Linked DNA regions of Caenorhabditis elegans. The protein of the gene in region 4 interacts with the protein of the main gene of each other region in a pairwise test. Each region holds a gene or a part of one and is shown on either strand. Other genes may lie near its edges.

The links.
Region 1: the proteins of sma-1 (region 4) and rme-4 interact in a two-hybrid assay, tested with the Caenorhabditis elegans proteins (one large-scale study listed by BioGRID).
Region 2: the proteins of sma-1 (region 4) and sap-49 interact in a two-hybrid assay, tested with the Caenorhabditis elegans proteins (one large-scale study listed by BioGRID).
Region 3: the proteins of sma-1 (region 4) and cyk-1 interact in a two-hybrid assay, tested with the Caenorhabditis elegans proteins (one large-scale study listed by BioGRID).

The regions. Positions count from the first base shown.
Region 1 is NC_003284.9:10,371,988-10,381,184, forward strand, and holds rme-4 (UDENN domain-containing protein), read right to left. Parts: upstream 5,783-9,197; 5' UTR 5,624-5,782; coding exon 5,604-5,623; intron 5,556-5,603; coding exon 5,397-5,555; intron 5,334-5,396; coding exon 5,217-5,333; intron 4,777-5,216; coding exon 4,608-4,776; intron 4,565-4,607; coding exon 4,335-4,564; intron 3,914-4,334; coding exon 3,811-3,913; intron 3,766-3,810; coding exon 3,430-3,765; intron 3,379-3,429; coding exon 3,283-3,378; intron 3,029-3,282; coding exon 2,975-3,028; intron 2,928-2,974; coding exon 2,799-2,927; intron 2,757-2,798; coding exon 2,584-2,756; intron 2,021-2,583; coding exon 1,615-2,020; 3' UTR 1,245-1,614; downstream 1-1,244. Other genes in the region: Y49A10A.2 (uncharacterized protein), read right to left, coding at 1-20, 69-170, 219-365; dyf-6 (Intraflagellar transport protein 46 homolog), read right to left, coding at 7,947-8,162, 8,209-8,325, 8,375-8,566, 8,622-8,776.
Region 2 is NC_003280.10:8,031,713-8,037,791, reverse strand, and holds sap-49 (Splicing factor 3B subunit 4), read left to right. Parts: upstream 1-2,024; coding exon 2,025-2,279; intron 2,280-2,328; coding exon 2,329-3,098; intron 3,099-3,171; coding exon 3,172-3,313; 3' UTR 3,314-3,542; downstream 3,543-6,079. Other genes in the region: C08B11.9 (uncharacterized protein), read left to right, coding at 1-250; arp-6 (Actin-like protein C08B11.6), read left to right, coding at 446-522, 570-1,007, 1,050-1,205, 1,251-1,412, 1,458-1,881; nrf-6 (Nose resistant to fluoxetine protein 6), read left to right, coding at 5,090-5,135, 5,402-5,683, 5,725-5,974, 6,018-6,079. UniProt on the Caenorhabditis elegans protein: Subunit of the splicing factor SF3B required for 'A' complex assembly formed by the stable binding of U2 snRNP to the branchpoint sequence (BPS) in pre-mRNA.
Region 3 is NC_003281.10:7,021,984-7,032,039, forward strand, and holds cyk-1 (WAPL domain-containing protein), read right to left. Parts: upstream 7,223-10,056; 5' UTR 7,214-7,222; coding exon 6,734-7,213; intron 6,598-6,733; coding exon 6,504-6,597; intron 6,120-6,503; coding exon 6,058-6,119; intron 6,011-6,057; coding exon 5,774-6,010; intron 5,721-5,773; coding exon 5,544-5,720; intron 5,497-5,543; coding exon 5,297-5,496; intron 5,248-5,296; coding exon 4,965-5,247; intron 4,916-4,964; coding exon 4,555-4,915; intron 4,508-4,554; coding exon 4,371-4,507; intron 4,321-4,370; coding exon 3,669-4,320; intron 3,623-3,668; coding exon 3,088-3,622; intron 3,041-3,087; coding exon 2,535-3,040; intron 2,490-2,534; coding exon 2,068-2,489; intron 2,023-2,067; coding exon 1,855-2,022; 3' UTR 1,659-1,854; downstream 1-1,658. Other genes in the region: rfl-1 (NEDD8-activating enzyme E1 catalytic subunit), read left to right, coding at 1-89, 135-217, 267-347, 417-525, 574-835, 923-1,124, 1,168-1,344, 1,388-1,583.
Region 4 is NC_003283.11:11,896,524-11,903,512, reverse strand, and holds the start of sma-1 (Spectrin beta chain), read right to left. Parts: upstream 4,065-6,989; 5' UTR 3,950-4,064; coding exon 3,883-3,949; intron 3,606-3,882; exon of another isoform or gene 3,434-3,605; intron 2,406-3,433; coding exon 2,143-2,405; intron 1,518-2,142; coding exon 1,338-1,517; intron 729-1,337; coding exon 444-728; intron 399-443; coding exon 15-398; intron 1-14.

The DNA.
Region 1 (9,197 bases), on a different chromosome or scaffold from region 4:
GCTCTGCCACATTGAGATCCCTGGAAACATATGAACATTTTCTAAATTCTATTAGAATGCACACAAACCCATAGTTTGCCTCCTAATGTTTCCTTAGCCTCTTTAATAGCTTTGGTGTGTTGCTCCGTAGACTTTTTGAATCGATAGTCTCGATGCAAAGCGAAAATCGCCTGAAATAAAGTTTAGAACCTTTGATATTATTTGGATTTATTACTCACACCCTGTGGAACAATACTCGTTCGGCCTTTCGCTTTCCAGGTAAAATATTCTACTCTCCATGAGACGGGATTCCTTCCTCTCTCCATATTCACCAACTTGCATGGCCACGAACCTTTGATCACAATATCACCAGGTTGGAAACTCATCTGAAATTGATTAATGTTTCAATCTTTAAAAAAAATGTTGGGCCATAATAAAATATCAATTAAAATGCAGTGAAACAAGTTGATATTGTCTACTGTCCAAAGCCAAAAACAAGAAAATGCATTCTGATGGTCAAACTAAGAGAAAAAATCAAACTACTCCTATTTCTAAACTATTTGGGTGCTGTGTATCAAGAAAAGTCTTGACAAATAGCAGGAAAAATTGAATATTCAATGGAAAAAACCGCACCTTCTCAGCCGTGTTCTTTCACGTTGGCAAGTGCCTGTGCGGACGGCATGTTCGGTCCGTTTCTGCTTGTGCGTGCGGTGAGATTAGAAAAAGAGATTTAGAGATCGTAGGAAAAAGAGAAATAATATAGAAATCATTGAGTGAGAGAAGCTAGACGGTCGCAAAAGGCAGCAGACGGCAGGGGCCCCAGGAAGGGGAAGAGCGGAGGAGACGAGGACGGCCATCTGTTAATATGCAGGAGAAATAGTGTTATGATGCAGGGTAGTCGTAGATACGTTTGGTTCACTTTTCCAATATATTGTAAATACTGTGAAAATTGTCAAAGCATAATATTTTTTCCATTTAAAATTATGGGATATTTTCCAAAGTCTCAAAAGTTTTATAGCGCCAGTTGGGATAACTTTTTTGAAATCTAAAAAAAACGATTTTATCCTTTCAACTGAATTATTTTTGTCACAAAAGATCTATTTCAAATATTTACCGTATTGACGCTACTCCATTCAAAAATTAAAACAAAAAAAATTAAATGGAAGCTGTCCAGTATATTGTAGTTTTTAAGTACTTTCGATAGATGCTAAAATAAGTGAGTAAATTGAAATAAATTGAAATAATAACATAAACTGAATGAAAAGTCACCCAACATTATTGTTTATTCCAAACCAGAAAAATAAATAAATATATACTTTTGACAAGAAAAAGTTAGAATGCCGGCATTCGATGACAATTTGATTTGACAAGTTCCTTTGGATTTTTGAAAAATATATACTTAAACAAAATGAATAAAATGACTGAATTATCGTTGTGACTTCAGTCTCGCAGGAGTACAAGGAACAAACGATTAAAAAATATGAGAATATGGAAAAACAAAATAATTTGACTAGTGGGAAGGGGGAAAGAAATGGGTTAAATTTATGAAAGTAACCATACGACTCTAGCCATAGAAACTCAAATTTCATACACATAAATAATTTGTTTTTCATTTTGTTATCACATGATTGTATTCTACTCGAAAGTTTCCCATTTGCTCCGAACCGGAGGAGGGGGGACTCGTATTGCTGAACTAGTGGCAAAAGCAGTTGCTGGTTGCCCTGACGATGTGCTCGATGGGCCAACTGATGCAGGTCGTCGGGGAGGTAGCGGCGGAGGAGCATACCAATCGGGTGCAGATGGGTTCATCGCTGATGGTACGCTTCCTACTTGGCTGACTTGTGCCCACTGATGGCTTTGTTGAAAATGGAGTAGGTGAGGTGCTGATGATCCACTTGGAGAGATTGACTGGACCGATGAGCCAGGAATCATGCGAGGATGTAGAGGTGGTGGGGGTCGAGAGGGCAATGGAGGCGCCGAGCCTTCTGGTGACGTCGCAAATGGGTCGGCAAATACGTTTCCTATTGCTCCAGATGGCGACCTGAACATTTGTAAAATAATTAACTGATTTGCGAATAACATAGTAACAGATTTGGTTTTCAAATTACCAGGTTTTGGCAATACATACATGTTTTATATCTTGATCAAGATTACTATACAAAATGTACCAGCATGTACAAGCACCAGCATTTCAAGCACCAGCTTGAAATGAAATTTTTTTTAATTCTTTTTAGTTATGAAACTATTTTTGAAACGGTGTTAGAAAACCAAATCATCAGAAGTTATCAAATGCATTAGACTTCTCATTGGACACACTGCAATTTTTTTGATCCTCGTTATATTTGAACAAAGTATGATTTTTGTTTATAAGGCGACATTACTTTTTATTCTACATATAAGCAATTATGAGATTTCCGAGCGTTTCCAAAATACTTCTACCTAGACAGAAACAGCCAGAAGCTTATAGATTAAAAGTGGATTAAACTCAGGCAGGCGCACAACGAACAGATAATTGTTGGTTGCCAGAAAAATAGAGCGAAAAAGTTCTACAAAGAGCCACAGCGTTATACTTTTTCTGGGTTGATTATTTGATCAAATACTCACTTGCGGTTGTTAGTTGCAAGTTCGGAGGGACGAAGAAAGTACTGTTCATCCACTGATGTAAGCCCAGACGCAGAACTTGTAGAAGGTTCATCCAAATCAATGAGGTTGGCTACTGGAACATTGTCCATCCTTGTTTCCACCGGGAAGCCCTCGTTTTCGTCACTTTTCTGGAACTATTCAAAAATATTAATACATTCTGTTATTTTCTAACAAACCGTTGCATCCCATTGTAGGTTATCAAAAGACATTGGCGACTGCTCAAATCCATTTTGATTGTGTGCTTTTTTTCTTGCCGCTGCTTTTCGTATTTCCCGAGGCGTTAGTTTCTGGAGACGATTTGCAATCTAGAAATTTGAATGTTTCAAATAACTTAAAATGGGTTGAAAAATACTTGTATTCCAGAAGTTTTCAATGCTCCGATGACGTCATTGGCATTCTCCTTGACCTGGAAAATCTTTTCAATTGCATTAAAAATTAGATGCCGAACAAGTTAGAAAATTTTTCAAAAGTCATGCACTTGGTTAAACTGAAAATCAAGTTGCTGAGATACTGTTTGACAACACGAATCTTACTGATTGCACCGTAGTATGCACCATTGGCTCATGATGATTTAGCTGAATGTTGGAATATGTCCGCACACTCGACGAGTTAACGTCATTGCGTTATACAAGCTATGATAACATTTGCTTCATCACTTACCGGCCGGTTTTTCAGATCCATCTGTTCGATTTCAATTTCGAACTGGTCTCCTGGCACGTGTCCGTCTTTGTACAATTCTAATCGGTCGTGGATGAACTAAAATATTTAATTATTGCGACTTATCAATATGCTTGTGCGGAAACTCACTCTTTCTAGGTACTGCACACCATCCGCACCTAATAGTGATGATACGTATGCTTGGTAGGATGGTTTTTGTTGCACCACAAACCGCTCTTTGGAAAAAACCAGAGTTTCAGGCGTATCACCAGTAAATCCACTTGTGTAGTCACCAAACAGCATAACCATAGCTCGTAAGAAGTGCTTTGCAAAAGTGTCATCCATTGCTGACTGCGACCGAAGTTGTGCTTTCAAAAAGTTTACAACTTCTTGAGGCATTGCTGCTACATCATCGAATGGGCTTGTTAACGTCTTCTCGTCAATATCAACAATCACCACTTCGCCGATGTCTCTTATATTCAGCCTCTTAAATAAAATACAATATTGGGACATCTATTCGAATTCACAAACCGCATTTTCCAAAACAGTTTTTGGAACGCCTATCAAGTATGGCATTGGTGCCATTACCATGTCGACGAGAGACTCGGGAAGAATTGTGATAAAAACTGATTGCCTGAAATATACATTGAAGTACATTTTAGAAAATTTAATAGCTTTTCAATAAGCGTCCTCATCATTGAGTTCAGAATTTTTGTTCCTAAAACTATGATTAAATACAGTCGCAAGACCAAATGTTTCGTGATGTTAATGTTGAATTCAAATTTTTCACCAAGTACTTTCAAGATTGTTTAAGAGAAACTTGAATTCTATGTATATGCATCACTAAATAATATAACAAGTTATCTTATACTGTATACCCTTTTACATTGCTTTTGATTTTTATTTCTTAACCACGATTTCTTATTACGTGGTATTACGTACTTTGTTTTAGTTTCTTAGTTATCTCAGAACTGCTATCACAGAACTGCGATTGCAATGCCTCTTGCTACCAATATTTATGTAAACATTTTTGTTAGAAATTTTATATTACTCACCAACACATTGGGTAGAGAAGCATCGAGACCGCATGGAGACATGAACTCAACGATCCAACTTTCCGCCCAGTAAACAGAATACGACGTTCTTTCAGTAGACTTGCAAAGATTGCTAACATCTGCCGAGGGTCGATGGCGTTGTAGAACTCGAGGAAAAACTTATCCGAGCCAAGAGTTGGTAATCGCGTGTGATCGGGAATTTTTTCAGCAAACACTACTCGATAGTTGTGCTGAGAAAATATTGCACATTTAGATATAAACTAAGGTTCTTACTCCATCTGTTTGATTACTATCAGCAAATCGTAAATATTCGTCAATATTTGGAATATCTGTGTGATAGAATTTGGTGAGCACTGATTCAACATCTTCCCTTTGCGCTGAACCTATCACCAAAGAAATATCGTTAAGAGCTTTGAAGAAGACATTTGGCCAGAAGAATCCACTGTAAAATATTCATATTTTTAAAGAGACATTTTTCTGACTACTTCTCTACTCTTTTCTACCGCCTTTTTTTAAAGCATATTTTAGTTCCAAGCAAACGGTTTTGTATTTTTTTTTAAGTTCTTGTGATAATAATGTTCACCATCACAAATCGTTTTCTTTTTTAAAATATTGCAATCATATTCGTCATCCTATCCTACGCGTTTAACATTCTTTTCATTTTTTCGCATCACACAACAACAACAACAGTTAAAAGTCACAAGAAAAAACGAACTCTGTTTTGTTCTTTTTTTCGTTAACGTTTTTGCAAGAGTTTATTTAAAAGGAATAGAAAAGAAAACGAAATATGATACTTCTCCTCTGCTCTTCAGGACTCATTTTCCCATGACAAAACCAAACGACGGCTATTTGTCAAAAGTAATGATGGAAAATCACTCTCACCTCAAGAAGCAGATGCACGTGTCGGTTCTTGGTGTATAACGGCAAAATCCAAACGAGAATTTGGAGTTCGAATCGGTTAGAACAAAACTGAATAATTGCACTGCGTCGACTTCTACTCTGAAATATTATAAAAACATTTTAATTCCATACCAATTTAGTTTTTTTTTAACAATTACGTACTCTCGTAGTTGACATGGAAATGCAAACTGTTGAACACTTTTCACAATAGCTGGATCGTGGAAATCGTCGGGATACTGGAGTCTTAAAATAGCAAGCTTTTCGCCAGGTTTCGGGGCATCAAGTTCGCAGAAGACGTCGTACAGGGTGGCCACGTCAGCTCTGAAAATATATTCTAAAAATGGATTGAACATTTCACAACAATCTCACCTGTATCTTCCATAGGTCATATGTGAAAAATTAAAGCCAATTGGGAGATGGAACCAACGGCAGAGAAGAGATCTAGAGATCGAAGACAATTGTTAAATTGAATTGAAGGTTAGCTTCAGCCACCCAACTGGGAACAAACGGACTGAAAACTGCTGGGCGGCGACAGCAGGAAACACTTGCAATATTACAATAAAAAGAACGGAAAACGAAAACTGCGTTAAAAGAAGACTGCTGGCGCGTTTCTCTTTGTGAATTCAGCTGACACGCGACTGAACGACAAAAAGAGGAGGGCGAGGAGAGACTACAGCAATAGAAGAGAAGGAAAAGAAACATGGAAAAAATGAAGAGCGAACAAGGCGTGAGAATGAATGGGATAAAATTAGTGACATAAATTTAGAAATAGAGGATGGAGTAAAGAAGAAAAATGGGTGCTGCCACCAAAAGCATCACATAAGAATCAAGAAATGTTACTATTCAGACTACTGGGTAACAATACCAAGAAAAAAAGAAACATGTGTCTTTTTTTTTAGTATCGCGCAGTCCTGTGACGGATGAGGAAAATAGAGCTGTCAAATGGAATGAGAAATGGGCTGTTGAAAAGGAGAAAACAGAATACTGAATTTCGTTGTGTTTTTCAGAATTTGATAACATACAGAGTTTAACTGTAGGCTACTTTGTGTATTTTAAATTACATATTTTTAGGGGTTTCAAGTTAAAAAGCGGATTTGTAGATTTTTGTTTTTTTGTTTTTTTGTTCGTTTTGTTCAAATTTTTGATCAAATTTTCGTTAGTTTTGAATATTATATCAAACTGCTAAACTTGGAAACATTGAAGTTCAAAAAAAATGGGAACATAAAATTTATTGGTTAAAGAAACAAATACTTTTGACTCAATAAAAGTATTTTCTTAAATAAATTCCGCTACCTATCTATTTTAAAACAATAAGGCTTTCAAACATGTTTTGCTTGCTTTTCTCATTGTTGATATTTTCTATGTTAACGTTACATAAATTTGACGGTCCTAATGAGCAATCTTTTTTTCATAAATGCCAGAAAACTTAACTTCCAAAAGCCGAACTCTATCTGCAAAAACTGAACAGTTTGTTGTCATCTAATGTTTTTTTTCTGGAAGAAAAAGAGTCTAGTCACTGATAGGAATGAAAAGACGCAGAGAATGTGCATGCACAGTTTGTAGAGGGATAAGACTGCAATCTATTTCTGACATTGCAAGCGAGAGAACGTTGTGCTCATATAATAAGAGAGAAATAGCCCATCTAAGCGATTTGTACGAGAAAAAAGTGAAGAAGTTTAAGAAACATGGACATATGATTTTGAATGTCTATGCAAAAAACGACTTATCAAGTCAAATTTATTGTAAAATTTACTTTTCAAATTAAAAGAAAAATAACCTAGAAAACTACAAAAATGCGAATTAAAAAAGTTCACTTCAAATCGGGACGAGTTTATGTAGTGCGTATTTCCCGCCGTCAGGTGGGGACACTGTGCAATGAAAAGAGGAGGAAAGATAGACGAAATGAATAAACACAGTGACGAATCGATAAATGCTACGAGAGTCTGAATGGTCTTGTTACGACAATAGAACGCCTTGCTCACCCTTTCCTTCTTCAAATGACATCTATAGTACCTGCTGAGAAGACTTACCACCGGCTTGTGTTCCACGTTCTGTTTGTTACTCACAATTGCTAAGCAACATGATGCTTTGTCTTGGAAATGGGACCGTGAGAGCTGTCCCTGGAAACCAGAAATTCAGGAGTAGTAGTGGAAAGTTGAATAGTTTTTTTTAGTGTGGGGTACGAAATACAAAATACAATTTCAAGTTTCCAAAAATTCAAAAATAAGAGAATACTGGTTAAAATGTATAAGTCCCAAACTACAATTTCACTACAAACCGAATAATTAGATTTTCGTGCAATGAATAAACACAAAAATTGTGGTGATATTTCCTTGTTAAAAACAAAATTAATTTGAAAATGTTTCTTCATATGAGTAAGACAAAAATTGGTGTAAAGATAACAGTAAAAACTCACCAAGGATAATTCTCTCCAATTAATGTGCAATGAAAAATAAAACTTTTTGATTGTTAAAAAAGAAATAAAAATGTTTATTCGGTCAAATAAATTAAAGTAAAATAGAAGGTGAATCAATTAATGAAGTTCAAAAGGAGAAAGCATTTTGCCAATAATTTAAGAAATTATTTATATGACACAAATAGGTTGTTCAGAAAGTGTGTCTGCAGAGGGAAAAGTTATAAAATGTGTGATTAAGAGAATGTCAGAAACGTCTGCTTATCAAAAAGTTATGGAAATGTCAATAAATTTTGATGTTAAAGTTCCAATCTGTCCATTGTTTCTCCGGTTTCTCCTCCGAGATTGTTGTTTTGTGCGAGATTGCGAAAATGCTGTGAGTTATTAAATTCATTGAGCAGCGAAAACATCAAATGGAGAGCTTCAATGCGACTTTTCCCCACAGGAATGTCGACGATATTAAGACAAATTTCCACATACTTTTCCAATGAAACATCCAGTTCGGCCGATGGTATCTGTCGGATTCAACGTTTTACGTTACAACAAAGCATTGAGACAAACCTTTGTCGTTTTCAAAACTTCTTCAAGTTTTTGTGGCCATTCTTGCATCAATGTTTCTACATCTGGCAGTTGAGTTCTGTAGTGAACTGTTTGGGCAGGCTTGCTTTTATGAAATTCCTAGAAATTAACATTTTTTAAAAGATGTCTTGACACTTTTAAAACAAACTTTAATATCAGAAATCCATTTCTTTATTTCATCTGGATTCTCATCAGCTCTTTCTAAAAGCTTCACTGGAACATCGTCATCGAGAATTGCCGCATCTTTAGTAGCATTTCGAATCTGCATATCGACAATTGTGGCGTCGCTCTGGTTGCTGGGTGGCTCGTCAATCTGCGTGAGCCCCACATTATCGTCAATCTAAAATTCTTGGTTATATAAACATGTTTGCGTGAGCTATGAATTCCGGACATACCTCGTCTGGCCTTGGCACTTTGATGAATAGGTCGACATCGCCCATTGCTGGGATGTATTCGATAGTGAATGGGCGTAATTGCGGGCGCAACTCTACTTCTTGTGTTTTATACGCGTCGATATAAGTCAGAATCGCAATTTCGTCTTCGGTGTAGTCTGAAAGCAGACTTCAGATAGAATACAATTATTGGTCAAAAATGATAAATCTATAAGTATTTTCCCGAAGAAACGGATTCAAATGTTGTTTGATTGCTTTTTTTGAGATTAAAAAGTTTCCACAAACATGATACAATGCGTCGCGAAATATATACAAAATATGTTCTTTTTTAAATGTTATCTTATTATGCTTCACTTGTTAAATTGAGAAAGTCGTGTACACTCAAAAGTATCTTCTTGAAATGTTTTGAAAACTACTCACTATCAGAAAATAAAATGTATGTTAGTTTAAACTAAAGAATACGATAAAAAAAGTTATTTTTCGGATAAATTTCTTGAAAAACAAGTAAAATGAAAATAATTTGTTCCAGAGTATGACCTATGTCTATGTTTTTGTGGATATTAATTAATTATCAGAGGT
Region 2 (6,079 bases), on a different chromosome or scaffold from region 4:
GCAACCTGGCCGAATTTACCATTTGTACCAGAAGCAAGGAAGCATGAACAAATATTTCTCTATGTTGGCTCCTAACGAGTGGGGATACCAAGAGAAGAAAGAAGAATATCTTGGATCATATCGGTTGGAATATGACAGAAGCTGGACTCCTGTAGGAGAAATGGATCGTAAAGACGAAGAAGTCGCTCGTCTTCAGCAACTTCTTCAACGGGAAGGACCGGTCGCCTTACGTGGGAATCCTAATTTTTAAGAAGCATATGTAACATTCGTAAAAACGCATAGATTTTCAATTCAATTCCAATAACCGGGTTGTTTCTTGTGTGCCTGATACTTTCATGAATATTGTGATAATTCGAAATTATTTGTTATCTTATAGGTTACCACCCTACTCTTAATTTTTTATCTGGAAAAATCACACTACTCATTCTGTGAAATAATTTTGTAGATGAGTTTAACAACAATTATTTTTGACAATGGTGGCCATAATATGAAGATAGGTACGATAGACTCAGAGTCCCCTAGGTTTGTTTCTAATAAGAAAAATATCAATATAATTTAAATATTTTCAGATTAGTTCCAAACAGTATTGTGAAAGCGAAACATGAAAAGAAGCGGGTTTTTGTTGCACACGAGCAAGAAGAATGTTCGGACAAGTTTTCGCTATTCTATGTGCGACCAATTGAAAGAGGATATGTGGTGAATTGGGATACACAACAGCAAATCTGGGAGAAAACGTTCGGATCTATGGATGTGGAGGCGTCTACTTCTCGAATTGCACTCACAGATAATAACTATCTAATCCCAGCTCTTCCTGATGTCTCTAGTGAAATATTGTTTGATTATTTCGGCTTCACAGAGGTACACAAAACGTCTGCTTCGACTTTGGTGGCAAAACATTCAAATAAAATCAACAACGAAAAGTGTGCAGTTGTTGTGGATTCCGGGTTTTCATGGACTACGGTAGCTTCATTTGTGAATGGAATGCTTATTCAGGATAGTGTTATAAGGTTGGAAAGTGTTTTCAAACTACAATTAGCTTTATTTTTAAGGATCGATGTTGGTGGAAAAGCGTTAACAAATAAATTGAAGGACTGGGTATCTTACCGACAATTGAATGTTAGCGAAGAAACATACGTTATCAACGAATGTAAAGAGGATCTTTGCTTCGTCTCACAAAATTTTGATGAGAGCATGAAAGAGGCTAGGTAGGTATAAAAATGAAGAATACTAATTATATTGTTTTTATTCAGGAATCGATTTCAAGAAAATACAACAATGAAACGATATATTATGCCGGATTTCCACTCGACATTCCGAGGTGTAGTGAAAGACGTTAAAGAGCCACACGATCCACAAATTCCTTCAATTCATTTGGGAGTTGAGAGATTCGCCATTCCGGAAATCTTATTCAAGTTAGTAATTTCGGCAAAAAGTATAAACTATTTTATCTGTTGCAGTCCCTCGGATATTGATATTGATCAATGTGGTGTCGCAGAAGCTGTTATCGAGAGTATTTGTCAATGTCCAGAAGCATTACGGCCTGCTCTGGCAGAAAATATCATCGTGATTGGCGGATCGTCGTGCTTCCCAGGATTTCGTGAACGCCTGGAACGAGAAGTTCGATCAATGCTGCCAGCAGAATATGGATTGAATGTTTCAAATGACGTAATAAACCCACAAACTCATTCCTGGCATTGTGGTCAAGAGCTTCTCACTGCTTCTAAAGTTCCATGGATCAACCGAAAAGATTGGGACGAACGAGGAGACTCGTTGGAGTTCTCTAACTTTTTCCAGACTCTTGTGCAATCCGATGAACTGAAGGGAACTCGTAATTTCGATGATCAGAGGGAGAAATCCCCAAAGGAAGATGAAGATTTCTGAACTGATCTCTTATCACTTTAAAATAAACATGTTTTATATATATATATGCCAAAATATTTTTTTTTGAGATCAGAGGTTTATTTTCCTTTGTTGGACTTATTTTTTTTCATGTGCTGTTCATTTTTTAAAAATCAATATTTCAGATGTCAGCAGGGCCGATAGTGGAAAGAAACCAAGATGCAACAATTTACGTTGGTGGATTAGACGAGAAGGTGTCAGAGTCCATCCTATGGGAACTTATGGTACAAGCAGGACCTGTTGTCAGTGTCAATATGCCGAAAGATCGAGTAACTGCCAATCATCAAGGTTTCGGATTTGTGGAGTTCATGGGAGAAGAAGATGCAGATTATGCAATCAAAATTTTAAACATGATCAAATTATACGGAAAGCCAATTAAAGTAAGCTATCAAATATGTTTAGTTTATTATTTAAAAAAATAATATTCAGGTGAACAAAGCATCGGCTCATGAAAAGAATATGGATGTTGGTGCAAATATTTTTGTTGGAAATCTGGATCCAGAAGTCGATGAGAAATTGCTATACGATACGTTCAGTGCTTTTGGAGTTATTCTTCAAGTTCCAAAAATCATGAGAGATGTTGATTCGGGAACGTCTAAAGGATTCGCGTTCATCAACTTCGCTTCATTCGAAGCTTCAGATACAGCATTAGAAGCTATGAACGGCCAATTTCTTTGCAATCGAGCTATCACCGTCTCATACGCTTTCAAGAGAGATTCAAAAGGAGAAAGACACGGAACAGCAGCGGAGCGTATGCTGGCTGCACAAAATCCACTGTTTCCAAAAGACCGGCCACATCAAGTATTTTCTGACGTTCCACTTGGTGTTCCAGCTAACACACCTTTGGCCATGCCAGGAGTTCATGCTGCTATTGCTGCTCATGCAACAGGACGCCCAGGCTATCAACCACCACCATTGATGGGAATGGCTCAATCTGGATATCAAGGACAATATCCACCAGTACCACCACCTCCACCAAGTGTGACACCAATGCCACCTCCAATGCCGCCAACGCCAGGAATGACTCCTCGTCCACCACCACCACCATCATCTGGAATGTGGCCGCCACCACCACCGCCTCCACCAGGAAGAACTCCAGGACCACCAGGTATGCCTGGTATGCCTCCACCACCACCACCATCACGATTTGGTCCTCCAGGAATGGGTGGAATGCCGCCGCCACCTCCACCAGGGATGAGGTATATATTTTTGTTCTAAGTTGAAAATATCGTTCATGTTCACCGTTCGAACTTACACAATTTTTCTTTTCAGATATCCGGGAGGCATGCCGCCACCACCACCGCCGCGATATCCTTCTGCTGGACCAGGAATGTATCCACCTCCACCACCAAGTCGTCCTCCAGCACCACCATCTGGTCATGGAATGATCCCACCTCCACCACCTCCATCATAATTACTCGATCGGATTGGAATACCTTAATCTTTATTTTCAGAAACTTTTGTTTTTCACGAAAAGATCTTCATTTCAGCTGTTCTAAACTTTTACATTTTAAATTATTTCGTTTTATTCTCATTCCATAAACCAATTTCTATTTGATGTCAATTCAACTTCAATCATATTCCACAACCATCATCTCCTCCTCTCTCTTATCAATCTCATCACAATCACACCTTTCTTTTCCAATTACCACTTCGATACGTCAAGTCACGTTCTTCAGCGGTTTTTTGTTGCATTTTAATGTTCTCACACAATCTGTACGCCTTTTTCCACTATTTAAGACATCATTGATGTTCGCTGGAGCGGCAAATCCTATGAACTATAGGCAAGTTCAACGCCTAATAGAGACGTAGAGTGTAAGTGAGGTTTCCGGGAGAATTCGTCTCGCACCTTCCTCTCATTGATTCTATCAACGAACGGAACGAGTTAAACTAAAAAAAAAAGTGTAGAGAAATAGAGAAAGAAGGGGAGAGAAAGAACATGGACAATGACTGTATTCAACCGGAGGACACACCAAAACTAATTAGTCACCCGAAAACATCACCTACAATCATCACATTGCTTCTTCGCACTTTTTCCAGAAATATTATTCCAGTATCATTTTGATTTTCTCCAATTCAGTGTTTTTGTGTTGTAGAATTTTCAGTTTATTATTTTTGGAGTTCCGAGAGTATCTTCAGTTCAAATTTTGCACATTTATCTCCTTATTTAAATGAAATTGCTACTACATTCCTAGAATTTATGAACAAATGGAATAATTTTTATTAGGAATTTCTCGAATTATGATTCATTCTTCCATTTTCCATTCATAACAATCGTTCGTTTTTCTTGCATTTGAAATTTCATTCGTCAGTAAAAATTCTACAAAACAACATTGTTTCAAATAACCTGTTATTTATATAATTTTTAGGATGAGTTTATGAGCTCTAGAGGAAGAAACCAACTTTGCCCGTTTCCAATTATATAATTACAGTACTCAACTTTTCCAATTGTTCGTCATATACATATTTCCACACCAGAACTCATTTATATATATTTTGCAACGCATCAATGTTTAGCTTTCAAAAATTTTATGATCTAGAGAAGTTAAAAAATCACAAAATGTCGTAGTTAAAAATTGAGGACGTTTTATATACTGTTACAAAGTGTTACAAAGTAGCAATAATTCAGTTTTCATGTACTTCTTATAATTTTGGAAGTTCACTAAAAAAAAGTTACACGAGTTTTATGTTCAATCTATATCTTAACTATTCTTATTTGAACACTGTAGGCTCAAAATTTCAATTTTTCTGACAGTCTGGCATTTTGCCAAATCTCTGACTAAATATTTTGGAAAATCCACAATGCCGTGTTTTATTCAGATATATTGTCTTATTGACCTGCTGTGACTATATTTTGACAAAACTCTTGAGTTTCTAATTATACTAATGATTAGTGGTAACCCTACATATGTTATCTGAAAACCCCACTGATTCTGTAAAACGAATGTCCTTTTGATAGGTATTTCTTTTTGTTTCTGATACAATATTATATTATACTAGGGAGAGAGACTTAGACTGCCAAAAAATATTCCTTATCATTATAAACCTTTGTGCCTTGATTGCCTTCGAGCAAAAAAAACCGCCGACACTTAATGATTGACACTTATTCGCCTAATCTGTTCAATTCGTTTCACTTTCTTGCAACTTTTCATTGCCTTCCTGCTGCTTACTTTAAAACTTACAGATCAAAATGGGTAACATGCGGAGGCTGTTGATCTTTGCTGTTCTAGTAATATGTAAGGATAAATAATTACATTTTTAATAAAGAAAAATTACAAAAAGATCAAGGAAATTTGAACTGTTCATTACGATTACAGTAGATTAGAAACTTTCTCGGATGTTTCATGTTTCTTTTGTTGTGTATTTTGGATTTTGAACCATTTTATTTTATCTTAATTTTATGTTTAACTAGTCAGATATTCCATTAATTATATTCAAAAAAAAAACAGAGTGGCATAATTAATTAAATTCATGTTAACGATTAAAATGTTTATATTTACAGTAACCGTCATATCCAATTCAAAATCGAGTTACAAATATGATGGTTCATTGTTCTCAAGTAAAGAATTGGATTATGATGAGACAGACACTAAAGCAATGGGATCCGTTTTTTCAAGATATATGTCAGATTCCGATGCTCAGCTAATTCTTGATCTCGACTTTTTCCGTCATTTTTTCAATTACGCAGAAGCTTATAGAGATGGAGCTGAAGAGGGAAATCTTGAATTAATGAAGTATGCTGTTGAAATGGTTGAAAAATTAAAATCATTTGATATATCAATGGGTTAGTTTATAATGACTATATCTTTAACAAAAAACATTTAGCTTGCGTTGGAGACATGATGCACTTGGCATGGACTGGAGTAGAATATGCAACTCATGTTGAAGAGCATAAAAACTGCTCAGATTGCAAATGTACACCACTTTTCCAACAAAAGAAAAGTGAACGTCACTGGATTTTTAATGTTTTTGATGCAATGGGAAAGGTTCCAGCTGGTATTATGAGTGGAAATAACTTATGGGTGGGCTCATGGAGCACTTGTAGAAAGATTGACGTTGTCAAGAATGCTCAAGGGTTAGTTTGATTAGATGTAAAAAATAATTAAATGCGATTACAGACAAAAGTGGAAAGGTCAATATTGTTTGGCAACAATTGATGCATATGAGAGAGACAATCCAC
Region 3 (10,056 bases), on a different chromosome or scaffold from region 4:
CCGGACCGGAAAACTTTGAAGCACTGCAAAACACGAAGATTCTTGTTATTGGTGCTGGTGGATTGGGTTGTGAGTTGTTAAAGAACTTGGTTAGTTAGAATTCAAAAAAAACATTAAAAATAATGCATTTTCAGGCTTTGAGCGGATTCCGAACAATTGAAGTTATCGATATGGACACAATTGATGTATCAAACCTAAATCGTCAATTCTTATTTAGGTATTAAAAAATTATTATTAAATTCGTTCTGTCAAAAAAAAACTTTCAGGGAATCTGACGTTGGAAAATCAAAAGCTGAGGTAGCTGCTGCTTTCGTTCAACAAAGAGTTGTTGGATGTCAGGTGACTGCGTAAGTGTTGTGGTTTGATAGTCTTTCCAAACAAATTCAGAATTATTTTAATTTTATTTCAATTTTCAGGCACAACTGTAGAATTGAAGACAAGGGTCAAGAATTTTATCGAAAATTCTCTATAATTATCTGTGGACTTGATTCGATTCCAGCCAGAAGATGGATCAACGGAATGCTGGTAAAATTCTTTCTAGCTCAAAATATAAATTAATTTATCGAATTGCAGTGTGATTTGGTTTTGGAAATGGCCGACGGAAAACCTGATGAGAACACAATTATTCCAATGATTGACGGAGGAACTGAAGGATTTAAAGGAAATGCTCGTGTCATATATCCGAAATTCACAGCCTGTATTGATTGTACTCTTGATCTTTATCCACCTCAAGTCAATTTTCCATTGTGCACAATTGCTCACACTCCTCGACTTCCAGAACATTGTATTGAATACATTAAAGTAGTTGTTTGGCCAGAGGAAAAACCATTTGAAGGTAAAAATTTACAGAAAAATCGGTGAAACGAACTTTAATTTTAGTGTTATTTTTAAAGTTTTTTCTGGAAAAAAGTTATATTTCCAGGTGTTTCTCTTGACGCTGACGATCCGATCCACGTTGAATGGGTTCTCGAAAGAGCAAGTCTTCGTGCAGAAAAATACAATATTCGAGGTGTGGATCGTCGTTTGACATCTGGAGTTCTAAAAAGAATTATTCCGGCTGTTGCATCAACAAATGCAGTTATCGCTGCATCATGTGCCCTAGAAGCTCTGAAATTGGCCACAAAGTATGTAAGATCACATATTAAAACTCTCAATATTCAATTTCAGCATTGCCAAACCAATCGATAATTATCTTAATTTCACTCAAATTCACGGAGCATATACCAGTGTTGTTTCAATGATGAAAGATGACAATTGTCTCACTTGTAGTGGTGGGCGTCTTCCATTCGAAGTTTCACCATCTTCAACTCTTGAATCGCTTATCATCAGACTCTCGGAGCGTTTGTACGTTCTCCGTTTGTTTTAGAAAACAAATTTCAAATTTCAGCCATCTCAAACATCCGACACTAGCGACCTCAACTCGAAAACTTTACTGTATTAGCAGTTTCATGCCACAATTTGAACAAGAAAGCAAAGAAAATCTGCATACTTCGATGAAAGATCTTGTTAGCGATGGCGAAGAAATACTGGTATCCGACGAAGCATTGTCTCGTGCACTTACACTACGAATTCAGCTCATCTAATGCATTTCTTCTATTTCACTTTTGAATGTCTCGGGTAAAGTATGCCTGTGTTCCATGTCAATAAAAATAAAATCGTTTTTAAACTCAAAATATTTACCTAAAGAAAATAGAAAGGAAAAGTGAACTGATGAAAATACAACGAGCAATTGAAATGGAACGAGAAGAGGGACCCTGTGAATGACAATTAAAGTATGAAAAATGTGGCAATAATACAGAAAAAATAGAGACGGAGAATGACTAGATCTATAGATAAGACAACCGATGTGAGCTTTCAGAAATCATTAAGACGTGCGAGAAGATCGTCTGTTGATGGCACCACTGTGCCTGATGATGATGATGTAGCCGTGTTTGATGATGCAGGACCAGATGAAGTTGACGAGGAACCCGTCGGATCGTTTTCTTTGTGCGTTGGTGAGATTTGCGATGTTCCATTGATATTCTGAAAGTTAAATTTCGAAAAGTTTCCACATATAAAATATGTTACCGTAACTGGAACAGCTGGTTGCCCTTTCCTTCTCACTCGAACTTTGAGCTCATTCTGACCAATCGGCAATCCAACTCCAAATGCTTTAGCCCTATCAAGCGCCGTTGTTGGTTTTACTGATGATGGAAGTTCCATATTTTGTCGTTGCAGATCATTTTGAGGAACGTTGCGTGATCGAGCAAACTGTCCGGAAAGAACCGGTTCCGATGCGCAGCCAGTGAGATCTTGAAGCTGACCCAAAGCATTCTGATGTCGTGATCTTTGCCGATCAAGTCCTCCTCCAAGTCTTCCACCTCCGCGAGTTCGAGCTGGCAATCCGGAACGAGGAGTTCGAGAATTTGTGGCAGACATCAAGGTTTGAAGGAAATCAGCATTTCCTGTAGCACGCTCCAACTCATCGAGCACACCAGCCTTATCGGCAGCTGAAAAAATTATATTAAAAAACAATTTCAAAAATATCAACTCACCAGTCGAAACTCGAATCATCGCAGCCGGAGTTCTTGGCACTCTATTAATCGCCTGTCTCTCTTGTAACGGCTTCCTTTCTTGTTGAGATTGTTGCAGCTGCTTCCGCTTCTGTGTCTCAAATTCTGCTTCTTTTCGTTTTGCTTCTGCTTCGGCATCCAACTCTTTCCAAGCATTCGAATATTGCTCAGAGAAGGTGCGAATATCGGCGAAAAATTCTTCCATCGGATATTTTTTGTCGTTAAATGCATAATACTTGACCAACGACTCCCAATCGTTTTTCATCTTTCCACACATTGACGAAACTGTGGAGAACTCTTTGACAGCTTTTTCGTGGAACGGCCGCATCTTCTCGTCGAATAAATCACGTTCTCCTTGAATTTTGTACACTTTTAAGCAGTTCTCCAGTTTTTTAATGTTATTCTCTGTCAGTTGAACAGTTTTTCGAATTTCATCCGCATTCACTCGGGACGATTCAATGCAATGATGGAAGTCGGTGAGAGCAAATCTTAAATTTTTTAAATTTTGAGAAAGCAAGTAAAGGAATCTACTCACCGTGCTCGTCTTGGATCGATTCTCTTCATTTCTTCAATTAAATGATGTAGAAGAGTATGCCGATTATCGACATCTTTTGTATCAACCAGTCTTGTCAGCATTCTCATGTCGAACGCGTAAGCACTCGAATAGTTTTTTGTCGCTCCGCCCATAAAGTTTCCAGTCGCCAAAACAAGTTTCAAAAATGTTCGGAATCCTTCAGATGCTCGTACTTCTTCGCACGCTTCCATCACTGACGACATGGCTGGTTTCAGTTCATTCAACACTTCAGAGAATCGCATTTTGAATAGAACCAAGTCGAGACGAAGCGGAAGACCTTGAATTTGGAGCAGACGAGTGACAAATTGTTCACCCTCGGGCATTTCCTCAAATTGAGCCTTGTTCACCGCTCTCAGCTTGTCAATAAGCTCCTTCTCCACTGGCATTGCTGATCGAAGTTGCTCCAAGAATCCGACAGTTAAAACCTTTTCGTTGACTTCCAAAATCGCCAGCTTGAGCTCTGAATGCGACATTTTGATTGATCCTTGAAGAATGCCTGCAAGAAAAAGATCATAAAAAAGGATATACTTCTTCGAGTTTACCCAATTTTTGAAGTAATTTATCGTCATGAATGACTTGTGCTGTCTTCACTTTCTTTTTGCTATTCAAGACACCACCAAGAGTACCACTATTTGCAGCAGGTTTCGTGGCGAATTTGGTTCGTAAACGATCGAACATTCGATCGCTGGTCAGCTGTTCTTCGTTTGTTCCAACCCAGAACGACTCTCTTGGAATATCCCGAGGGTTGATAGTATGTGCTCCCCATGGGAACTTTCTCATGGGACCATCAACCTTTGGAACCTTCTTGGGTGGAAGGTAATCAGGTATCACGGGAGCCATCGGTGCGAACATGCCTGGAGGAGGTGGTGGTGGCGGTCCGCCCTTGAACCCTCCCGGTGGTGGTGGAGGAGGTGGAGGTGGACATCCTCCAGGAGGCGGCGGAGGTGGTGGAGGACCTCCAGATATTGGAGGCAATCCTCCCGGTGGAGGCGGCGGCGGGGGTCCTCCGGTGATTGGAGGAAGACCACCAGGAGGAGGAGGTGGAGGCGGCCCTCCTGTGATTGGTGGGAGACCTGGAGGTGGTGGTGGACCTCCAGTTATTGGCGGTAGAGCTGAAGATCCACCAGCAGATGTGGATGGAGCCGACAAGTTCATCTTCGTTGGCGGAGGAAGAGGTATTTTTGGATCATTTATCTGAAAAATAACATGTTTCAATCAAACCGCTTCTAAAAAAGTAAATATACATGTTTTCTCAGTTCTTCAGCTTCTTTCTGGAAATCACATAATGTTTTCCAGTATTCTCCTTGCATTGCAACAGCTTCCTGTTTGGCCGACGTGGCTTGTCGAACTTTTTTGGCCATCTCTTCGTCTTGCATTTTATCTGTAATTAAAATTATTTAATTTTTCAATATACTCTCGATCACAAACCAATGATCTCGGCCACAGGAACCTCAAACACAAACTTATAATCCGCTTGTGGATCGATTGGAGTTCGATGCAGAAGAATATCTGATATGGCTGTCTCGATGAGTTTCATATACGATCTTTTCGTCGACATATCCTCATTAGTAAGAGTCATAAGCTGTAAAATTGAAAGGAGCACTGTCTCGGTTCCGGTGGCTTCAGAGTTGGCGGCAAGAAGTTCAAAACATCCATCCAAGGTATCATATTCTCCTTTTACATTTTCAAGCTTCCCCATCAGTGTTTCCAAATCTGCATTGTGCTCAGTGAGCATGTTCTGAGCAACATCCCGAATTTGCGAGTTTACAGTTTCAGATGTAGTGAATTTCTGGAAAATATCTGGGATAAGATTATTTTTCTGAAACAATCAAATTTACCTCAATGTACTTGTGAAGTTTATCTTTTGCAGCTTCACTCCTTAATCTCATTCGTGCTTGCCACATCGTCTCTTCTGTCCACATTTGATCATCACTTATGTTACGATCGACACCATTGATCATCATATTTATCATCAGAAGTACGTACATTCCTTGTTTTGGATCGCGGGATTCTAGAAAATCGATGCAGCTGATGAGGGGCCGAAATCGAGAAACTGGTTCATTGAGCCGTTTGGATTCAGCTTTAGCTATTAAGGACAACTCCATGAACATCTTTTGTTGACTGAAATGCATTTCAATTAAATAAGATTTGAACTGTTCAAAATTTTTACCCAGTCATTTCAATCGGAGTTGACAGCGTATCATGTTGAACAAAAATCAACGTATAACATGTTCTAACCACATCAACCCGAATAGCTCGAATCTCAGCTGCTTCATGATCGTTTTGCTCTCGCCTGTTCAGGACGCATAATGTTTGAATGAGAAGTGAGTATACAGGAGAGTTCCGTCGCAATACAAGAACAAGGCCAACCTGAAATAGTGTAGAATTAGAATTAGACTGAAAACATACAAACTTACATGTGTATTAATTAGCGTTCGGACACATCTGACGATTTCTTGCAAGAAATCAATCAAATCAAGCTCATATTTCGAGCCAACTTCACTGCTTCTCAGTCGTTTCAAGACTAATGAGTAGAGACAGCAGATAAGATCAGCTCCAGTGCGACCAGACTCGTCATGAACTTCTACGGCGAACTGAAAATAAATATGTATTTTAATAGTAACAATATCTATCTTAAAAAACGAACCTTATTAAGAAATGAAACACCTTGACCAACTAGCTGAACCCGTACAGTAACAATATCCTGCTTGCATTCCGGAATGTTTTTCGTTTTCAATATTTCTCCCAATACTCGTACAACCCATTCCGGAGACCTTCCCTTCGCCTGATTATCTTGTTTTCTCGAATTCTCAATCATCATTTTCATTTGATCAAGTGGCGTATTAGAAATAATTTTATCAGCTTCGGGCAGACCTTTGTCGAGCTGCAAAATTAGTAGAAATATAATAAGAACTCTATAAAGAATATTACCATAATTTTCCTGAATTCTTCTCGTATTTCGTCTTCAGTTCCTGACAAGGCAAATGATTCTCCTGGAACTATTTTATATTGAAAATGGAGATCTTCGAAATAATTCAGTTTAATGCTCGTTTAAAAGTGAAATACGGTCAATGGGAAAACAATTTGAAAAACGCTTCCTATGACGCTAAAATTATTAAATATCATAATAACATGTTTTAAATCTACAGTCAAAAATAAGTGAAAGAAAAGTGGCAAAAACTCACAATCAGTTTTCACCGTTTTTTCACAAATCACATTGTGAAATAATAAAAAAATTTCAAAATATTTTTGAGAAGTTCTATGACATTTTGACATCTTAGCACCATAGGAACGGGTTTTAATTTCAATATTGACCGTACTCTACCTTTAACTAGCGACATAATTTTTATTTTCAAGATTAAGAAAAAAAATATTACCTGAAGAATTTGAAGCAATCGAGAAACCTCCAATACTTTGTGTGCCTGCATATGTACCGTAGTCATTGTTTGAATATGACGATGATGGAACATTCTGAAAATAAGAAAATATACTTGTGGGGAAAATATTAATTTGAGGATTTTGCAAACTCTAATTATTATTATTACTTTTCTCTAATAATAAGATGTTATTTCTGTATTTTTAGGTAGAAGAATTCCCAGATACGAACATTTAATTTCTGTCGTTGTTTTCGTTTAAATCTGCTCGATGAGAACAAATCAGTCCATCTTCCAGAACCATTCGCTCCACTTAAATGAAATGGACTCCTACGACTAGCAAAATCAGCAGCTCCAGCCAACATTGAATGTCTTTCAGCGCTTCTCCTTTTGAATTTCTGATTAGGAACTTGATCTTCCAAGAAATGAGAAACAGTTGCATCTTGTGCACGAGTCGCTTTTTTCTTTTCGCGCAATTGCACACGAGGCTCGTCTATATCAGAATTTTCAGAATTCGGGTGAAGAAACTGCGCTTGTAGAGGGTCTAGAATTGTATTTTTTGGAGCAGAATTAGAAGCTGATGGTGTAGGAGTCACGTCTTCATCGTCATCCGTTGAATAACTTGAATGACGAGATTGGGTAGGAAGTCGATTCATATCAGCTAGTGAAGCTACACGTGGCGTGTCAATTGACTCATAATCATCGCTAGACATTTTTAAGCTGGAAATGTTTCAAACTGAACGAGATTTTGAACGGAACGAATTGAATTAATAAAGTGGAGCGGATTACCGAAACGGTCAAAATAACCTCAATACAGGTAATAAAATCTAATCGTAAATGAAGGTAAAACCGTGAATTGAATTGAAATTGTATTGACAAGTGCAGAGAAATCAAAAACCAGGGAGAAAAATAGTGAAGAAATGAATAACCGATTGGAAAATAATTTTCTTACGAAAAATAGAGACTTTGTTATTTTCCATATACAGAAAACCAACTAAAAATTGAAGGCAATCAGCGAACTCTAGAAAAGTGAGAAGAAGGGGAAAAAGAGAAGTGGAATGTCATCTGATTCTTGGGGAGAAAAATACAAAAATGAAATCTATTCAAATTGAATGGCAGGCAAATCGACAGGGCATGCGGGTCGTTGGATGAAAAAGTGAGAAATGGAGGAAATGTGTGAGAACCTAGTGATAAAAGAACAAAATAAATATAAAATAAACACAGTCACTTCGGTATTTGGAGAAAGCGAAAAAGGGAGAGGAAGAGAATTTGAGAAGTGCTCCGGAAAACAAGAAAATGAACTCGGGAATGGAGATTAGCTCATTCTTCATTAAGTTTTGAAATAATATGTTTTCAGCCAGCATATAATTTGCTTAAAATCTAGTATCTGAGAACAGCCTATTTAATTTAAACTCTCACGTTTTCGCGGAAATTCATAAACTGCAATCCTACATTTTAAGATATTTATTACACATCGTTGAGTTGATTGGGATTTTCGTCCTCATAAATAAAATATATTTAAAAGGAATCCAACTACTTGTTTTTTGGCGGCTAACATAAAGCTCGTTCATTCTTGAAGGAAATTTGACACTGTTTTACAGTATGCAAATCCCTTGCTCTCTTCTCTTTTTTGTCTGATTTTTCCCGCCAAATGGGTCATTGGGCACATGTGAAGGAGATAAGAGGACTCATGGAGAAAGTAGAGAAGGAGAGACGGTCAAAATGGAGACTCATGTCAAGTGGACAGGCTGGTGGTGCTTTTTGAGCATATGATTATCATAGACATATCACTGTTGACAGAAATATGAATGATAGCGTGTTCGCCGGCCGGATGCTCTACAATGTGTATTTTCTATTCACACATGCATGAAGTCACTGCCGATCGTTCAAAATACTGAAGTGCAAATATAAATTTTAAAGAAAATTACTACATGTGCAATGATCGCTTAATTTCACGAATGATAGAACACCTTAAAATGTCTAAAAATGTTTTCTGGATACGTTCTCAAAAAATATGTGATAATTCTACAGTAATCCGATGTTAAAGACTAAGATTTCTTCAAAAAAATTCGGTGCCTCATGCTGGAATCGAACCAGCGACCTTCTGTTTACTAGACAGACGCTCTGCCACTGAGCCAATGAGGCGGACAGAAAACCGGATAGTAAAGCCGTTGAGAAGAGAGAGAGAGAGAGATACGAGACAAAGATATCAAGGCAATTGGGTGGGTTTTTTAACACTGAAAATAAGACAATTGTTTGAAAACTGAAAATTTTGTTAGATAAACTTTCAGAAAGTAACATTTAACTTCAAGAGGAAAGATTTCTATGATCATTGGTAACTGATAAGCTAAAGAGCAAATAGCATAGTCACATAGACATTTAACAGAGAGAGAACACCTAGATATTTGGTAAACACCTAAAAGAAAAACTGTTTAAGTTGCGAGATGTGACATATGAGTTTAGAAACGCTAATTTAAAATTAGGCAATTGTGGGATACACCTAGAATAAGAATAATTTAAACAGATAGAAGTGACACCCTTTCAGTTAAGTCCAAATGGTATACAACCAAACTTTAAAACGAAACGAATTGCGCCAGACAAAACGAAATTCTTCCAATTGACTGACCGATGGAAACTTCTCTCTCTTCAACACAAAACATCTGTCCTCTCGTTCCAAATCGCTAGTGTTAACGGGCGTCAACTGGCCAGATTTGTTTTTTTTAAGGTTTCTGGATACATTTTTTTTTAAAATTATCTAGGATCACCTAGATATCTCTCTCTAGGATATCTAGGATAACGTCTCAACAATTTCCTAGGTTTAAAATAACCGTTGGTTCCGAAGAACTTATGGTACATCGTTAGGCATTTTAATAAGAACAAAATCTATCAAACAGCAATGGAAAAAGTCAAAGGCTCTCTCTCTCTACTGGAGCTTATTGAAAAAAAAACGAAATGAGTAAGATGCCAGATGACCCAATCAACCAACTGCCTGAGGAGAAAGGAAGAAAAAATGGGGAAGAGTATGACTAATAAGAACGGAAAATATTTATCAACATCTAACTAATTCTAAAAATACTAAAAATTCTAAAACTAAAATAGTACACTTTATATCACAAATTGATGAAGATACAGAAATTTAAAAAGCTTTTCAAGTGAGAAATATTCTGAACTACTTTACTACAGCTGGCTGATAACATTGATAAGATTGGAATGTCGCTAGTTCAAAAACATGTTTACATCAAATCGGTAATCATGAGGCTGAATTTGAGGTTCACTTTTTTTTTTGGTAGTTCACAGACAACTTCAAGTAAGTAAGTAAGTAAGTAAGAGAACAGCGGAAATGGTCAAAAATGAAAATGAACATTCTTTCTATTGGGCAATCAAAAAATTCCTGTGAGCCATTCGGACAAAACAAAAACTGAAGAAATAGGCGATTTCTCTACGAAAATGAGCCCCCAAGGACACATGCTCGTAGTACTAGAATAAGGAAAGTCACACGCAAAATAAGAAAGGAACTTTACTACAAGTAAAAAATAAAAATTAATTTACAAAAGGA
Region 4 (6,989 bases):
TTATAAACACTTACATTAGCAATACGTCGAGCTCCTGTCATCTCAGTCTTTTGCTTTGCAAAATGATGATAGTACAAGGAAACATATGTAATGATTGACTTCTCGTCAGGCCTGGTAACGTCAACATCTTCAGCATCAAGAAGACGTGCAATCTCAAGCTTCTTTTCAGCCACATCAAACGCATGATTCAGATTATCCACATGCTCGTTTGGATTGAGACGATTGAAATCGACAAGATCCGGACGGTGCGAATGGATAAGTGCATTGAAAGCCAATCCATTGCGCCAACTTGTAGTGAAGTTTTCGATGCGAACATTTGGATATCCAGCTGTTTTTCTCTGACACCACAACAGCAAGGCATCTTTGGCATGTTTTCGCTCTCCACGCTCCTCCTCATCCTGAAAAATTTAAACTAAAACAAACAATGGCTTCTCTAAACTCACTTCAATGACAATAGTGTCAATCTGGAATCGGAGGATAATCGTCCAGATGAGACCCAAAATAAGTCGCTCGTTTCTGTCAAGAATGTCTTCGGCTCCAATATTTTCCAATTGGATTTTCTTTTTCTTCAAGAAGTCAAGAACTTTGTTCAAATTTTCCACTTTCTGCACACGCATTCGGCCACGATTCGGTTTTCCGAGTTTGTCTCCGGAAATGATTTCAAGAAGTTTCATGAGCATAATACCATCGCCGACATCTTCGAAAAGGTCAACAATCTCCAAACTTGCCTGAAAAATTGTTGTGCTTATATGGTTTTAATTCCTAAACTTATATTAATACCAAGTCACAGTTTTGGAAGTTAAAATTTATATTCTTATTTTTTCAAATATTTATAATTACCCTTGTGATTAACTATGATAAGATTTCAAATACCAATCTTCAAATTATATTTTTTCAACCCCAAACTTTGCAAAATGTTGCCATTTTGCTAAGATTGAAAATTACAACTCTAAAAAAACATTTATAATTTCTAATTACGTTAATATATTCTTTTAGACTATATCAAGTGTATTTTGACAAATTCCGCACTGGTTCTACCCCATATGCAACGAATGAATTCAGTTGATTTCATTGGTTTTCATCCGAACATTCCTTTCGTTCTTGCATGCAAACTGATCTCCAGATAAAGATAAGGGAATTTGCAAGGTCATCTTGGTCCGCATTACTTTCCCGTTGCATTATCCTCTTCTCTTTCCGTAAACAATTCTTCCGACTAATTGAACCTTTCTCCCTCACCTATTCCCTCTAATTCTACCCGTCTCTCTTATTCACTCTCGTGTTAACGATGACCGCCGTTATAGAATCAAATACTCCAATCAGTTGTTATCACAACTTACCCGATTAAGAAAGGAGTTGCACCATTTTGTGAACGTCTTCTTCTGAATGTGCACACGTTCGTCCTGCAGTGTCCGAATGCGTGATCTTTCAAAGTACAGTGTCTCATTATTGAACTCGTCTTGATCTGTTCCATTGGCATCTGCGCGAACTGGTGGTGCACCACTTGTTGGAACACGAACCTGAAAAAATCATTATGAACTTGATGCTAATTGAACTGTTAAATATTTCTAAACGTTCTCAGTTTTTTTTCGGATCTTTAAAACTTTCCAGAATAATATTACGGAACCAAAATTGTTACATATAAGGAAAAACAAATATTTACTAGCTCAGCGTCTTTCCGTTTTGACAGCATAGCCTTCCTAACCGGGAGAGACGCTTGCCGACCTTAATGATAAACAGAAATAACATAGAGTGTATGAGAGCACGTCAGCTGACTACTTTAAGAAAATGAATGATCTCCAAATGTTCATGAGTCATGAACAATTTATAAAACAAAAAAACAGCAACTACCTGTTCTTCAGGTAATGTTCTAACACTTGGGGTTGGAGATGAAGCTGTTGATTTCATAGATATTGAATAAATTAACTTTTTCGGCATGACTTTTAGAGCAAATATAAACAACTACTACAATCTGACAAAAATATTAGATGTGTTGGCTTGACTATTGGCAAAATTGGGATTTATGTTTCAAACGCGTAATCGGATTATCTTAAAATCCAATCATAATAGGTTTAAACATTCATTTTCGATCTACAGGTTGATGCTACTTTAAAAAGCCTGTCTAGTTCATAAATATAAACTTGCCTGCATTTCGTATTTTCTCATTTTGTCTTCAACGTTGTCTTCAGATACACCGTCGTTCACTCCTTCGCCGTAATACTCGTGCTTCTGATGTTGGTGATAGTCGCGGTACTGGTAGGGTTTTACTTCCCCACTCGATAATCCAGTACTGCTCGTCGCCTGATAGTCGTTCTCCGGTAAAGGATCTCTAGGTGTTCTTCGCAAGTGATCGAAGTCAACGTTTTCGCGACTTGGGGCAATCTCCTTGCGATACCCTTCTACCTTGTCTGAAAAATATACATTTTAGTTGATAAATTTGAAAGTTTCTTGAGTAGTTAAGTGACTAATAGATAGAGAAAAAAGAAAGACAAGTTATATATACATTTCTGAAGAGAATAATGATCAAAATGATATGCAACAGAGACGCCCACGTGGCACAAAAAAGACAAAGATTATTAATATTTGGAATCACATCGTTTTTCAGAGAAAAAGTTTGAACCTAACTTACAATTAAAACGGGAAATTGTATCCAGCAACAAAATACTTTCAAGAAAAGTGAAAGATTTTTGAAATAAAGAAATGTTTCGCCGAACATAAACAGTGAAAGAGTGGCACACGTGGTACACGTGGCATTCCTATGTGTGCGACTATTTTCTGTGTGTGTGGGCAAAGTTCACGTAATAATGTTCACGTGAAATATGACTTATTAAGAATTTGTACGTCGGATGTCGTACGACGACGCGACACAAACAAAGTTAGTAATATTTAACTGGAATCAGAAAAGGCTTACAAAAAAGAAAATGGAATAATTGGAAAGCTTTTCGAATGAAATTTTTTCTGAGAAAATGTTGGAACTATTCTGCAATTAAACAAAAAAGAGACGTGTTTAGCAATCGCTATAAATGTCCAGCAAAAAACATTGACAGATTAAATTTCAAGTAAAAAAGCAGAGAAAGTTCGAAACGTCACGAAAATTTTCAAAATTTTAAAAGTAAGGTATATTGTGGAGGTGGGGGCGTTCCCCGTGTTTATTACATCTGATAACAGCGTCTTATCACTGCGAAAAAGAAGAATGAGTCACTGAAATGTGCTCCGCGGGATGGTTGCTGAACTCATTAGTAAAGACGAACCCAGGGGGCAAAAAGTGAGAACAGAAAATGGATTAGACAACGGAGGGAATGCTATTGGAACTTTGTTTATTTTAGTGAAGCAATCTGTCACAGCATAGAGATCCCAATAAGACAGATACATAAATATCTCATACTTGGTAAATTGCAAATCGAAATGACACAGAGGACAATGATTCACTTTAGAATAGCGACAAAAATATGTGGAAAGAGAAAAAGTACTAAATTGTATTGACACTTCAACACTACCACCTATCACTGTGCCCTTTTCCTTCACGGCTCTATGGACGCTCTACTGATGGTATGCAGTGTTGCATATTTACCCTCTCGCCACTTCCATATAGAGAGAACGAAGAAATAAAGAGAGAAAGGAATGCAGCAGACTGTGAGAATGTGCAAGAATGCATATAACACAACAACACCAAAATTAGCAATATTCATACAATTTTTTACTTCGATCTATTATATATTCAAGCGCCAAAATTTAGAAGACTACTTAACACAAATATAAAAATTTAGAAAATTTGTTTGCAGAAACTAATTTGCACCTACTTTGATGTGCCCAAAATCAAATTAATAATTTCAGAATTTTTTTGAAAAACTTATTACAAAGAATTTAAAATGAAAGAGCACATACCATTGAGATTTCGAACTGTTTTGCCTTCTCCAGGCGAGTAGCTTGCCGCGAACGACACATACGACATGATAAAGCTTCACAATATTAGCAAGAATATATTATGTATATAGCAAAGTCGAAAAATAGTAAGTGGTAGTATTTCCTCCGTTATGAACAGTCTTGACAATCCGTGTTCGATTCTTGTCAGATATGGAGAAAAAGGGTCAAGGAAACACGGCGACACTCGGACAGTAGCCGTGGTGGTTCCTCCTCAGTCTTCAGAAGGTAACTTCTTATATAATCTTTATCTCTTCTGTGTTCAATTGCAACGACGTCCGGCGTTCGTTTATCCTTTGCCGAGTCTCTCTATACAATACTATCCGAATATGATGAGAGAGAGAAAGAAGTAACGGAGAAAGTGTCGGAGACGATTAGAAGACATCCATCGATCGGCGCGATGGATAAAAAGTATCGAATATGTGTATTCGCCTGACGGGAAAAGAACGGAAGGAATGTTCAGCGGCGGCAACAATTGAGTGGTGGCCGAAATGGGCGAGAAATCGAGGATTCCGGTGGCGGAAATTGACAAACACAAAAATAGCTGACCGCCACAGTGGGGCACTTGAGTTCAAACATGTCTGTTTCAAGAGCCAGGAAGAACACCGCTTTTTGTTCTTATCCATGAGCAGCCCACTTATTATTATAGTTTTTTATGATTTCTTGTTTATTGTTGACAATATTTGTTGACTTCTAGAAAAAGACATCATACATGTTCTTGTTCAAAGTTTTGGCAAATTGCCAATTTTCGAAAATGTCGGTTTTTGGAAATGTTTAAAACAATGCCTCATTTTTGGACCTATAAAATGCTTAAAACATAATCCAAATATGAGAATATTAAAATGTTTCGGACTACTTCAAAAATTATGAGTGGAGGACATTTAGTTATTTTGGTGTTTGCCTACAAAAAACTTTTTCAAATAAAAGTCTTATTATGATATTCGTATATTATTTTAGGGAGAGTTTCTGATAGTTAATCCCACTGGAGTTACTTTAAACAGGCATGACAGGAATATGCACAGGCAACTTAAGAATACTAAGTATCTCTGAACAAACGAAAAACTTTAATTACTGTAAAACTTCTAGTTATTCAGAAAATTATTTTAGAACAACTTTTCGACAACGCATATGGATCAATTCTTCAAGGAAAAAACACACCCATTTCTAGGAATTCAATCTATTCATTCAACGCGTGTATACGTTTCCATTTGTGTACTTATGATGAGTTGAGTTCGTCTGTCAACACGGATGCGTCAGAGTTGACGCATTTCGTTGAGGTATACTTGACCATAAACGCCGTCATATTGACAATGATATTGGCATGATTTATGGACGGGTAACAGGTCGACAGGTGTTTTGGGAAACAACTTTTGAAAAGAGAATGGAAATGTAGATAAACAGAGCTGTACTCCCGACTCAAACATTTGCCGAAATCTGAAGCTGACAAAATACGACTAAGTTTCTTTCACAATCGTGTAGTTTACAGTAAAAAAAATCTTTAAAAGAGTACTGAATTTTAACCTACAGTCAACAAACTTTTTGTGGCAAAGAGGAACAGAGAACCAAACAATTCCACGACAACCATAAAAACTGCGAGCCAAAAAATCAAGACTTTGAAAGGATGATAAAACAGTGAGAAAACACACATATTTTGGCAGAAGGCAGTGAAATGAAACGGACAAGAAAAACGTAGGTCTCTCCTTTTTCAAAAGAAAAGTTTCTTTCACCACCTAATTCAGTGTATCTAGTTGTCCGATCAGTCGAATGAAAGACGAAATCTCGACAAAACCGACACCGACAGTCGTCCACTACCACCTTACAAGTAGTATTCTTTACTTTTTTGAAAAGTGGAAGTGTGAGAATGTAAATGCGATAAGTTTCGTTTAGTATTAGCGAATAGGAGAAAGAGGCGAAGTGCGCATAACCTTGTGCCGAACACATTGAACAAAAAAGTGCTACAGGGTCGGTATGAATCGTCGCCAGATGTGCTACAAATGTCGGAAACTGAAGGAATGAAGGACCGGAAGAAAAATCGCATAAATTAAAGTAGACACTGTAGGGTTTGTTTCATCGAAAAGGGTTTATGTTGCGCAGCGCAGATTTACATATTTCAGAAATTTAACTGATGAATAAGCGTCGATTATCTCTAAAAACTGTGTCACCATCACTTGGTATATCAGTATATTATAAACAGAACAACTAGTGAAGTATGAATTACTCTAGAAGGAACACTGTCTAGATTATAAAAAGAACACCTATGTTGTCTAAGATACCACGTGCACACATTCCCAAGGACATTGCCCGTTAGATACATAGAATTTCAAATTTACAAGAGGTGGGAAACAAAATTTCAAAAACAAGTTGAGTGATAAAATAAGAATCAATTTTACAGGGGTAGTGAAAAATCCCATGTAAATTTCATTACGAGAAGAAACTAGAAACACTTCGTTCTTCAAATTCTGCATGGAAAGCACAAGTATCGGTTTCTAGATCTAATTAGGTTCATTTTAAAGCTAATATTGCTGTCAAACACGTAAAATATAACTGTGTATTTTAAATCTTATAGATTTAAAACAAATCATTTATAGATCTACAAAAGATATAAGCTTACATGAACAGATTTAAACCGTAACTTACAAAGAATCGGAAGTCGAAGATTGAAAAAAAACCAGAAATTACTATTTATGGTCATCAATTTTATTTTGAAAGTAAAATTATTTATTATAGTAAAACGTGAAACCCATTTAATAAAACCACAAACTATTGAGAAATGTTATTCGAAAAACGCGGCCTTGATAAAAAACGTTCACTTGAGCGTGCCGGTGTTTACGGACTCGACACTGGGCTGTGTTTCAAAAAGGTCTTCTACGCGGGAGAAAAAAGGGTGTTCTCCCTCTCACCTCTCCCGTTTCCCGCTCTCCACCAGCACAGTGACGCAAATTTGCGGACTAGACTACAATGGCAGTCGAATGGACCCTCCTGTAGGTCAAACTACAAACTCTAGATTGACCTCTGAGAATCGTGGGAATACTTGAATTTGGTAATCTGACGTCACATATGGAAATGCATCA